Linked DNA regions of Canis lupus familiaris. The protein of the gene in region 1 binds, or shares a complex with, the protein of each later gene. Links are inferred from orthologs where the notes say so. Each region holds a gene or a part of one and is shown on either strand. Other genes may lie near its edges. The genes, in order: NMT1, HPCA and AIFM3.

Evidence for each region.
Region 2: the proteins of NMT1 (region 1) and HPCA are in contact, whole or in part, in a crystal structure (PDB 7OWM), measured with the Homo sapiens proteins. The link is inferred for Canis lupus familiaris from reciprocal best matches to the Homo sapiens genes NMT1 and HPCA. Residues at the interface, in NP_066565.1 of Homo sapiens: Tyr180, Val181, Glu182, Asp183, Asp184, Asp185, Met187, Phe188, Arg189, Phe190, Tyr192, Ile245, Asn246, Phe247, Thr282, Ala283, Gly284, Tyr296, His298, Ser300, Lys310, Phe311, Ser312, His313, Tyr401, Leu403, Ser405, Tyr420, Gly468, Ile469; in NP_002134.2 of Homo sapiens: Gly2, Lys3, Gln4, Asn5, Ser6, Lys7, Leu8, Arg9.
Region 3: the proteins of NMT1 (region 1) and AIFM3 are in contact, whole or in part, in a crystal structure (PDB 6SJZ), measured with the Homo sapiens proteins. The link is inferred for Canis lupus familiaris from reciprocal best matches to the Homo sapiens genes NMT1 and AIFM3. Residues at the interface, in NP_066565.1 of Homo sapiens: Tyr180, Val181, Glu182, Asp183, Asp184, Asp185, Phe188, Arg189, Phe190, Asn246, Thr282, Ala283, Gly284, Tyr296, His298, Phe311, Tyr401, Ser405, Ile469, Gly470, Asp471, Asn473, Leu474, Leu495, Gln496; in NP_001373743.1 of Homo sapiens: Gly2, Cys4, Phe5, Ser6, Lys7, Pro8.

Annotation. Positions count from the first base shown.
Region 1 is NC_049230.1:18,341,933-18,345,575, forward strand, and holds part of NMT1 (glycylpeptide N-tetradecanoyltransferase 1), read right to left. Parts: intron 3,205-3,643; 5' UTR 3,115-3,204; intron 672-3,114; exon of another isoform or gene 391-671; intron 276-390; 5' UTR 229-275; coding exon 98-228; intron 1-97.
Region 2 is NC_049223.1:67,862,061-67,865,803, forward strand, and holds the start of HPCA (neuron-specific calcium-binding protein hippocalcin), read right to left. Parts: upstream 2,656-3,743; 5' UTR 2,423-2,655; intron 2,079-2,422; exon of another isoform or gene 1,997-2,078; intron 1,826-1,996; exon of another isoform or gene 1,677-1,825; intron 1-1,676. UniProt on the Homo sapiens protein: Calcium-binding protein that may play a role in the regulation of voltage-dependent calcium channels. May also play a role in cyclic-nucleotide-mediated signaling through the regulation of adenylate and guanylate cyclases.
Region 3 is NC_049247.1:30,699,189-30,702,931, forward strand, and holds the start of AIFM3 (apoptosis-inducing factor 3), read right to left. Parts: upstream 2,906-3,743; 5' UTR 2,853-2,905; intron 2,466-2,852; exon of another isoform or gene 2,362-2,465; intron 1,142-2,361; exon of another isoform or gene 1,009-1,141; intron 513-1,008; 5' UTR 370-512; coding exon 339-369; intron 1-338. UniProt on the Homo sapiens protein: Induces apoptosis through a caspase dependent pathway. Reduces mitochondrial membrane potential.

The DNA.
Region 1 (3,643 bases):
GGGTGGGGCTACCCTAAGCTCCCGGTGACTTCCCCGCACCCCAGAGACCCAGGTTGTGGGAGACTGGACGGGAATTGGACTCCGAGGATATCGTTACCCCCGGCTGTAGCTGTTGTCCTCCTCGTTCTCGCAATCGCTGCAGTGCTCATGGCCGTTTCCGTTCCCTTCCATCATCTGCGGCAGCGGAGGTGCCGGCGGCTTCACTGCTGTCTCACTCTCGTCCGCCATCTTGAGTTGCGAGAGCCGGCCTCCGCGCCTCGCTACATAGGGGGTTCCTATTGGACGAAAGGAACTTGCGGTTTATTCTGGGTTTTGTAGTTTTTGTGGCGAAGGGAGCCGTAACGAGGAACACCTCATTCTCGCGAAACCGGAACAAAGTGACTACAATACCCAGAAATCATGAAGGGGGCTGTCCTGGCTGGGGGCCAGCACTACCCGGAAGTCCTGGGCGATCAGCCGCGTTTTGAGGAAAGAGGGGCCCCAAGGTTGGCGGGGCCGACGCTACGCGATGGGGCGGCCGCGTGGCATGCTGGGAATTGTAGTTCGGTCCTTGCTTAGGGTTTCGGGATGAGGCGCCAAAATACAAGGTTTGACCTCAGCCTGCCCTTGTCAGTGCCTGGGCCACAGGTGAGCCGTTATTGGCTGCCGTTAAGGACCGTTACCATTCCCGGGTAAGTAATGAGGCCTGAGGCCTGCGGGTGGTACCCACCGGGAGCCCGAAATGCGTCGGGCCTTCTTGGAGAGCCTTTGCTGTAAGAAGCCAGGTTGGCTCCTGGCCGCCTCTCCTCACTCGGGACTCTAGGTGGCCCCTCTTCCTTGGGAATCCGAGGCCTCTCCAGAGGCGGTGGATCGTGGTGCGCAGAGCACTGATCCTGAGCCAGGAGCCCTGACTGCTCTGTCAGGCTTTGCCGCTTCTTGGTCTCCACGAAGCTCACACAGTGCCCTTAGGATTCTCCATATCCACTTTTTAATGAGCACTTCTATGCCAGGTTCTGGGGTGAGGCTTTTCGTATATCACATTTAATCCTCTCAACAAGCTGAGAAAGTGCGTTTGTATTATTATTACCCTTTGGCACAGGCAAAGAACTGTGGCCCAGATTGGGTGGTCAATCATACAGTCACATAGCAAATAAGTGGCAAAATCAGTGTACAAATTTGGATCTGTAGGCCCCTTTGGCCCTCTGAATTCTTTGATACTACAAAAGCCCCATTGTTTCATCCACCCAAGAAAATCAGTTATTAGAAAGTAATTGTGACATCTTAATCTAGTTTTAGCATTGACTAAATGCTTCAATCCCTTGGGTCTCACCCCTGTGTTTGAGTAATTGCACCTGAGTCTTGAGGACCAGTGCCCACAAAAAAAGGACTGGTCTTTGCCATCAGGAAACTCTCAAGGTAGAAAGAGGGAGAAACAGGGAAGAAACCCTTCCCATTTGACTCAGGGAAACAAAAAGGGAGCTAAATATTGTCCTGCTTCATTTTTCTCAGTGGCAAGAATAGAAGTAAATATGATCCGAAACAACAGATAATCCCCAGTCATTTATCTCTGACTTACACCCACTCAGTTTGAGTGCTGGCACCCACACTCATCTCTCCCAAGACCAAGATCGCAATTAATATGATGTCTTATATGCAGCTGCAGGCCTGAGGAAGAGGTCAGAGATAATAATAATAAAGCATTCCGTGTGTTAGATGGCTTTAACTTGTACGTGTTCCACCTGCTGTAGCTCATGGGACCTTGCAAAGTAGGGAGGGAAGGGGACTTGAAGAAAATTGGGACTTGTCCTCACCTGCAAAAAAAAAAAAGAAAAAAATGACGATACCTAGTAGCAGAACCAGAATCCACATCTGGTATTCTAATTCCCAACCCTGTCTTTTCTTTTCTCACTGATAGGCAGATGTTGAACACAAGTGAATGAAACATGACCAGGGAAGAGTGATGATAGGGTCCACTGTGGACCCTGCCATTCTTGCAGTTCAAAGCTTAAGAAAGGTATTACTGTGTATTTTACTGCAAACTGAGCAGTTTTTGCTCAGTGGAGAGTCTTTCTGGGAGGTAGATAGGCAGGCAATGTGACTGTCATGCCCAAGCTCAGAATGCAAGTACCAGTCCAAAGTTCTGGAATCCAGCACCTTTGAGAATTTGAGTTCAAAGGCACCTGAAAGGCACTAATCCCCCCTCTCAGGATCTTTCAAGTTAGAATGCTCACTTCGATTTTGTAGAATCCATTCTTTCTCTGTAATAAAGTTTAAATGTTATGGTTTTTAAAAGAAATTGAGTATATGTGATACTTTTTAAAAATGACCACCGAAAAATGAATATTGCTACATGTGATTTTAGTATGTAAGTTTACTTCCGAGAATGTTGTGATGTTGGGAATGATCATCAAAAGTAGTACAGTGTAATTTCCTAAATTGGGTCTATGGATGGTTTTTTGGGATCCCAAGAGTTCTCATATTTGTTCCTTTTCCCTACCCCCATAACAGAGAGACTTCCACTTTCAGACTGTTTTCATTGGTGGAAAGTTGGGCAAGTTCTGCCTTATGCAATTAATGTGGAAGCATATAATCCTTGCCCTTTACATAATTGTTACATGTTCTTCAATTGATTTCTAGTTCCCTAAACTTCTTTTTCCAAGGTAAACACTCCCAGCTTTCTGAGTGCCTCATCACATTAAAATAGCAGGATTCTCCCGTCTAGCTCTGCTGGCTTTTTCTACCCCACCCTACCCCCGCCCCATTCTGGCAGGAGCATTCTACAAAGGCAGTGGGGTACAGCACGGCCCAAAGAGTGGCTGAGGAATGTGCCTGTGAAACTTTTGCAGATTCTGGAATTTACTCCCGACTGTGGATACATCTTTTATCCCCTCACAGTTTTTACTGAAGACAGTAGAATATAGTGATTAAGAGAACAGGCTTCAGAGTCTTAACTTCCTGGGTTCTAAATCCTGGTTCTACCTCTGCCTAACAAGTGACCTTAGGCAAGCCACTTAACCTCTCTGAGACTCAATGTCCTCACCTGTAAAATGAGACCATGTAGGCAAAACAGTAAAGTGTCTGAGACAGTCAATACCTAATAAATTATTATTTCCCTTCCCAGGAGGTCAGCATTACCTGTGATAAAAACTTTCTCATGACATCCATCACAGATGTAGGCCTTTGCTGTAGTCCCAGTGTATCAGAGATCCATTTCTTCTAATGGGCCTAGGAAAGAATGGGCCAGGTTGTGATTCATTTATTCAACACCTTGAAGCACTCACCACTTGCCAGGCTTTATGGCAGGAACTAGAGAATCTGGATGGAACAACACAGTCCCCATCCTGGCTTTGCTCCACAAGTTGGTAGCTATGCAGATTGACATTTATGGCAAGTGTGTGAGAGAGAGGGAACACCAGATGTAGCAGGAGCCTGGAGGGACCTTTAACCTGGGGAAAGGGGTTCTACAGGGGAAAAGATGAAAGGGGAAAGATGGTTGAGCTAAGTTTTCAAAGGGGAACCAGACAAATGGGGTGGGGGGAGGGCAGAGTTGGGTGCTGTTGAGGTCCTGCAGAGAGAATTATATGAGCATTTTGGAGGTTGAGCCTGGAGAGGCAGTCAGGAGTCAGACCAGGAAGGGATGTGGACACCACACTAAGGGAGTTGG
Region 2 (3,743 bases), on another chromosome or scaffold:
AAGTAAGGAGATCTGGCCCAGGTCACATAGCCATGGAGTGATAGGGCTGACTCCCAGAGTTGCCCAGGGAGGTGCAATAGGCCTTCTGGTCCTCCCTCCTCCCTCCTGCTCCTTCTTTGCTTCACATATGTCTGCTCACTACAAAATACACCTGCAGCCCAGGCACTGACCTATTATCCTGTTCTCTCTTCCACACATGTGTGCCTGACAAAGGCCCAAGTAAGGTAGATGTTAACCTAGGCAACAGAACCAGACCACCTGGGTTTAAACCTCAGCTCTGCCTCTTACCAGCTAGGTGGCCTTAGACGAGTTTCTTATACTCTCTCTGCCCCATCTGTAAAGCGAGGGTAATAGTACCTACCTCATTATTATGGGGATTGAATTAGTTAATACATGTGAAGCACTTACAGTGATGCCTGCACATATATGTGCTATGTAAGTGTTAAATAAAAATGATTTACATGGACCCAGGTGCCACAAGACTTATGCACAACAATATACAAATGAATACACACACAAATTGTGGTACACAACTCACCAAATCCACACACTGGCTCCCATGCCACTCACACACCAGCGCACAGCCACCCATGGGTCACCATGCCTCCACACATGACAGCATTCCCTCTGCTCCACAACTCACATGTTCTGACACACGGCACCACTCACGAACAGCTCCCATACCCTATGCATCAAGACACCAGCCCACGACCCCACATGTCTCACACATGCCATCACAAGCCAACTCCCATGCCGACACCTCTCACATGGCCAGCTGCACGTGGAACCCTCAGGAACCCTTGCCATCTTTCTTTTCCCAGGGGTGCTTCTAGGTCCCAGGAGAGGGAGCCGCAACCCTTCTCAGACCTACTGGGGGGCCTCTCTTCCAGGGAGAGCCCCGGCCAGCCAACCCTCCCCCAACACTTACCTTTTCATGTAGGAGTTTAGGGTGTGGATGGCTGAGGGGAAGGCAAGGGAGAGGAGACAGCCAGGCAGTTCCAGGCAGGGATGTAGGGGAGCATGCAGGTGACTCCCTCCTCGCAGCCTGGCACTGGGAGTGAGACAGGATGAAGGGGTTCCTTGTGTGTGCATCTGCATGAAGCTCTGTGCACATGTGGATGAGCATCTGTGTGAGTGCTAGCGTTCATGTATGCACATATGCCCCTGGTTTCTGCATTGCCTTTGACTCCCGTGTGTTTCAGTCCATACATGTGCATGTGACTAGGTATGCACCCATCACAGTATGAGGGGGATGTGCCTGAATGGCCATTTGGGGGACTTGTGTGTGTCCTCAGCAGTGTGTCACATGCATGTTTTTGTAAGTTGATGACCCTCCTTTCTAAAGCAGCCTCTTCTGCCCCAGACTGAGGACCCAATGAACAAGTGTGTGTGTGGGGGGGGGGGGGGGGACTGAGGAAATGCGTTGGGCTGGGGCGGAGGAGTGTGTCCCTTAGTCCCCTCCTCAAGGTCCAAGGAACTGGGTCATCGGGGCGGGGGCTGAGAGATGCATTGAGCAGGAGAGATCCTCCAGTGCCCCCTCCTCCCTGCCACCCTCAGAGCTGCCCCTCCCAATCGGGAGACTTGGAAACGAGGGTGGTAGGAGAATCTGTTGTCTCCGCAAAGACTCCCTCGTCCCCCAGATGGGAAGGACCCACGGCTCGACCTGAGCAACTCACCCCCGGGGATCCTCTCCAAACCTCTCCCCAGTTCTCGCCCTGAGCCCACGCTTCAGAGCGCCGGGCGCGGGGCCCCTCCTGGAGGGGGCGCTCCGAGGCGACCAGAACGCGACTCCTCCCCGCTGGCCACTCGGCGGTCAGGACCCTGGAGAGCGCCGCGCTCCTTCCCCGGGGGAGCCCCCTTCCCCCCCGCGCCCTGGGCGGGAGGCTTCCCGGGAGGCGCGCGAGCGGCGGGGCTGGAGAGGTTCGACGGGGCCCCCTCCCTCTGGGCTGCCCCCTCCCTGCACCCCCCGGCCCCGGCCGGAGCGGCCCCCACTCACCCAGCGACGCGGAGACACCGACTGCGCAGGGAAGGCGGCGCTGCTGCGGCGCGCGGCGGCAGAGGCGGCCGGAGGGGCGGGCGGGGGGCGGGGGGAGGGACTGCCAGGGAGACGCCCCGCGGCGTTCGCCCGGAGCCCCTCCCCTGGGGGGGTCCCCGTTCCTCCCCTTCCCCTGCAGCCCCGGAGGGGGGAGGGGGCGGTGCGCTTGGCTCCGCCCCCGTCCCTGCCCGGGAGAGGGGAAGGGACGCCCTCACTTCCCTGGCCCCCTCGTGAGGGAGCGCCCGCCGGGGGAGGACAGAGGTTTCCATCTCCTCAGCATCTCGATCAGGTAGCCCGAATGGGGTCGGGGGGGTCACTGCCCAGAGACCTCTTTCCGAACCGGGGACAACCCCGGCAGCTCCGCCCGCCTTCCTGCCCCATCCCTACCTGTGCGCGGAGCTGCACGTCGCTCCGCGGGCGGAATCCGGAGCCTGGGCGGTTGGATAGGCACCTTCCCTGCCCCCGCGCCTCAACTCGGGAACTAATTGAGCAGGAGGCTCTTCCGCGAGGGGCAGCGCCCACTCCTCCGGTCCCGGAGGTCTTCGGGGGAAAGACACGCCCCCTACCCTACCTCGGCCTTAGAGAGCCCCGCCCCCATCTCCTGCCTACCGCCCGGGATCTCCTACCTGGGCTCCTCTCAGAATGAATCCCACCTCCCAACATTGATCTAAATTGCTCCTCCCATACCCTTCCTCCCCCGCCTCTGGTCCTAGGTGAGGACTGGGGAGCATCTTCAGTCTGGAGGGGTTCTGAAGTGCGTAGGGACCTCACCTGTAGACAGGACAGCCCTTCTCCCGAGTCCCTGACCCCCATCACAGCTCCTCCTGCCAGGATGGAGGCTGCATCCTCCTTCCCCCAGCTTCTGCAACAATCCCCACATCCTTGGCTTGAGTTTTTCCTTTATTTTTAGGAGGTGGTCCTTACTGTCCCCTCTTCACAAATGAGCAACCCCTCAGAGGGGTTAAATGATTTTTCCCCATGTCTCACAGCTGGTGAGTGGAAGGCTTGGGCTTGACTCCATATGGCCTCATCCATTCATGGCACAAATGTTCATCAGGCACTATTTCTGTGCCCAGCATTGTTCTAGGCAGTGGGGTTACAGAAGCGGGCAGTAAACAATGGACAGAATAGACAAGTCAATCCTATGATGTATTAGATAAGTGTTTGGGGAAAAGTTGGTGTTCAGAGGTTGGGGTGGTGGTGCTGCTTAGGACCATCCCAGAGACTTTAGATTTTATTCCAGGTGAGATGGAAAGCTCTTGGGGCTTTGAGCAGAGTGAGGGTCTGACTTTCAGGTCAAGCTTAACTCAGGGCATTCTGTCAAGAACAGACTTTGAGGAGTGGGGGCCAGGGTAGAAGCAGGGGACCATTTCAGGGTGAGAGAGATGGGTCTGGTTATTTTGAAGGTGAGCCCACAGCATTTGCGTTCTGACCGCATAGCTCCTGCCAGTTCAGTGGCAGCAGCTGGGAGACCCCCGCCTCTCCAGGGCTCAGACCAAAGCTCCACCTCCAGGTCCTAGACCAGGCAGTTTAGGTGTTAGAAGTCTAGCCTTAGTACTTCCTGCATGAGCATGGGGAGGTCTCAGCTGTAGGAGCTGGGGAGCCAGGCGGAGGGATGGGGGCCAATTGGGCCCTCTAGAACATCAGTTCATCTGTGTGTCTTGGCTCTGGTGTTGGGACCCCCAGTGGAGGCGTGAGAAATGCCAGA
Region 3 (3,743 bases), on another chromosome or scaffold:
CCTGAAGCATGAAGAACCCTACTTCCACCTTCCCAGAAAGGTTCAGCTGCTATTCCCACCAGAAGCCCCCAAAGCCCCAAATAAAGAGGGGGACCCACTGGACGGGGGCCAAGAGAAGGCTCCAGGCCCCCCACCCCCTCCTGCCTGCAGGGAATTAATATTCAGAGCAGGCTGCCGCCCAGCCTGACCTACTTTGGAGGCGGAGGGGGGAAGGGGAGGAGGAAGGTGGCTGGAGAAGGGAGGGAGGAGAGAGGAGGAGGCAGGGAGGAGGAGGGGGCAGGGAGGGGGCAGGGAGGGGGCAGGGAGGGGGAAGAATGAGGCGCGAAGAGAGGAGGTACCTGGCTTGGGCTTGGAGAAGCACCCACCCATGGCGAGTGGCCCACAGATCAATGGGGGGGCAGGTACGCAGATGGAAGGCTGTGGGAGGCCTAGGGTGCCCCAGGTGGGGCTGGACTCCCCATGGCCCTTAGAGATGCTGGAGCTGCCATTCCTGCTGGAGCTGCCTCCAGGACCTGCAGGGGAGACAAGGGGCGTCTGTAGGGACCAGGGCTTTGATGGGGGTTGTGGGGAGAGACACTGGGGGAGGGCTTCCAGAAGACGCGCACATTTGAGCTGGGAAACACTGCATATGTAGGGGACCCTGGCAGGCACCTCCCTTTGGAGGCCCTCCGGCTCGCTACCCTCACTCTCCCCTCCCATCTTTGCCTGTGGGCTGTGCCTACTGCCAAGGGGGCCCTCTGCTCAGATCTCAGCGTCTCTTTCAGGTCCAGGGCCACAGCTGCCTTGTTGGGTAAATCCTGATTTCGGGAGCCCACTGGAAATCCAGCAGCCTGGGAGCCCTGGAACTCTCCATTCTTCAGGGAGGCCACCACGCCTGGGGTCGGACCCTAGGTCTCCTCAGGCAGATCAGAGCCCTCCTGATCCTGCGGTTTCTCCTTCCTACAATGGGGGTCACATTTAGTTCTGGGCCCTGGCCCCCACCCTGGCTGGCAGCCCCTGGATACCCACCTCCTCCAGGGGCAGCCACTGCTTCTTCCTCCTGGATGGAGGCTTCCCAGCCCTGGAAGGCAGGGCAAGGGGGGGCAGGGGTCCAAGCCTCCACCCCTCCTCCCAGTGTGAGTGAGGCCAGGAGAGACTGGGGGGGTGCGGCTGGGCCAGTCCACTGGTCCCCAGGGAAACCCAGCTCCATGGTGAACAGAAGTGGGCGGCCAGCCCAGGCCTGATGGGGTTGGGGGAACGGGAGGCCAGGCACACTGCCCATGCCCAGCAGCCATGAGCTCCCACCCTGGACGCAGCCCCCCCTCCACAAATGCCCTCCGGGCTGCGGTGCTGAGATCACAACCAACAGCAGATGGAGAAACTGAGAGGCCAAGGGCTTGGCAAGGTCAAGCAGCAGGCAGGGGCAACCAGGCGGCCTCCCACCCCCCTTGGTTAGTTTCAAGATGGGCAGGGACCCAGGAAGCCCCCATAACACCCTGCAAGAGACAGGGCTGGGGGAGAGGTCACCGGGTCAGCAAAGAGATCCCTGCAGCCAAAGAGTCCTCATGGCCACAGGGTGGGCCTTCCAGAAGATGCAGCTTATAGACTGGACTTTGGAAGGCTCTGGACAAAGGTGTAGCTGCCCTGTTTACAAATGACCTCCCCCTGGTCCGTCCCACTGTGTTTCCCCTGGAAGTTCTTCCTGAAGTCTAACTTGAGGTGGGGCTGGGGCCTCCTTGGTCTTGCCCAGATCCCAGCAAAGGCTTTGAGTGGGTGCCTGAGAGCAAGGGGACCAAGAAGACAGGAGGAAAAGTGGGGAGGGATCGTCTACTGCCTGGCACCTGATCTTACCTGCGCTAGACCCACCCACTACAGTTCAGGGGGCAGCGGCACCCAAAGGCCACTTGGGCATACCGCTACCGTTTCCCCCTTCACCACACCTGACTTGGCTCCCACCTGCCCCACCCGGCCCCTCCCTGGGCGCAAGGGGGCCCCTCCCCAGATCCTGGCTTCTCCTCTGGCTCAGCCCTGCCCACCTCCTTCCTGCCAGGTCTCAGGCTTCACCTGCTGGGCCGCAGGAGTCAGAAAAGTTGGGACCTCCGCTCGCTGCCAGGTCCCTATCTAGGCTGTTTCTCCCTTCCCAGACGCCCAGATGTCTTAGGCCCTCCCGGGGCCTGGGGTCTGGAAAGAGATTTGCTGGGGGTTGAAAGGCCTCCAGGCCTACTGTGTGCAGGCCCTTGGAGCCCTGCGGCCTCAAAGGCAAAGGTTCTTGCCCGTGGAGCAGCAGGAGGCACCCCAGGATTTTGTGTGGGGTGCTGTCCCTTGCCCACACACTACCCAGTGCTGAGAAGTTGTAACAGCGCCCAAGGGCTAAGTACCCACCAGGAGCCTGGGTCCTGTTCCCCTGGGCGCCGCCCCCCAGGCCAGCGCAGGCTGGGCAGAAATGGGGGGATGCTCTCCAGTCGGGGCCCTCCGTGGCCTCCAGCCTCCCTGGGATTGGCAACGGAGTCAGGGTTGCCCGCCCTCACCCGCTCCCCCGGGCCGGCGCCCGCCTCCCGCGCACTCTCCGGGCCTTGGCACGTGCGGTCCCCTCGCTGCGGGAGGACCTCGCCCTCGCCCTCGCCCGCGCCCTCGCCCTCGCCCACGCGGGCGGCCGGGAAGGGGGTCGGGCACACAGTAGGGCCCCGCGGCGAGCGCGGAGGGGGCAGCGGGGAAGGGGCCGAGACGCTCCGGCCCCCGCTGGTCCCCCTCCCCGGCCGCCTACCCCAGCCCCCATCGCGCGGGGCCGGCGTGCGGGGCGGCGGGGCCGAGGGCCGGGGGTGAGGGGGTCTCCCGGGACCGGGGGCCGGGGGGTCCCCGGGGCGGGCGCTCACCTGGGCTCGGCGCGGGCCTCCGCTCTGGAGCCGCTCGGGGCCGCGGCCGCGGGGGGGGGGGGGGGGGGGGAGGAGCGGGCGGGGGCGGGGCCGGCGCTGCGGCGACACTGCGGCCGGGAGCCCGCGGCGCCCAGCACCGCCCCGCCGGGTCCCTGCGGGTAGGCGGGGGGTCGGGGTCGGGGTCGGGGTCGGGCCCGGGCGGGGGCGGGGCCCTTCTGGCCGCGGACGCCCCCAGCGGGGTCTGGCTTCCCGGGGATCCCCTGGACCCTAGAGGGGCGCCAAGCCGGGCGGCGCGCCGGGTCCCGAGCTCGTTCCTCCTTCTTTCCTGTCTTTCGAATCCTGAGCGACGTGAGGAGTGGGAGTCTAGCCTCCCCAAGAAGGAAACCCCAAATCCCCTTCCAGCGACTGCTCCGTAGGTACCTTGACTCCCTTTGGGGGCTCAGTCTCCTTGGTCTCTTGGCTCCCTCCCCTGTCCCCACACTTCATAAGGTCTATCTTAAATTATATTTTATTACATTTTCTTTTTCCCATCTGTCATTATATCAGGAGAACGTCCCGGGTCCCTATAAATCATGATGCGCCCTGGGGTTGTGTCCCCTCTTCCAGGAAGCCCTCCCTGACCAGTCTTCCTAGACTGAGTTGATCAGGCGGGATATCCTGGCTCCTGGTTACCTCGTGTTTCTGGGTCCCGATTGTCTCCATCTTTGCACTGTGTCCAGGCAGAGCTTGTGCCTCCAGCAAACGGATCCAGTGACTATGTGGGAAATGAATGAATGACACTTTCCAGGGAAACGATGTCACATCTACCATTAAGTACATCAGAGCCCACCAACTCTGTCCTATCTGGTGCCTTCTGTTGGCTTTTTTGCCCCTTCTCCCCTTTCTGGGCCT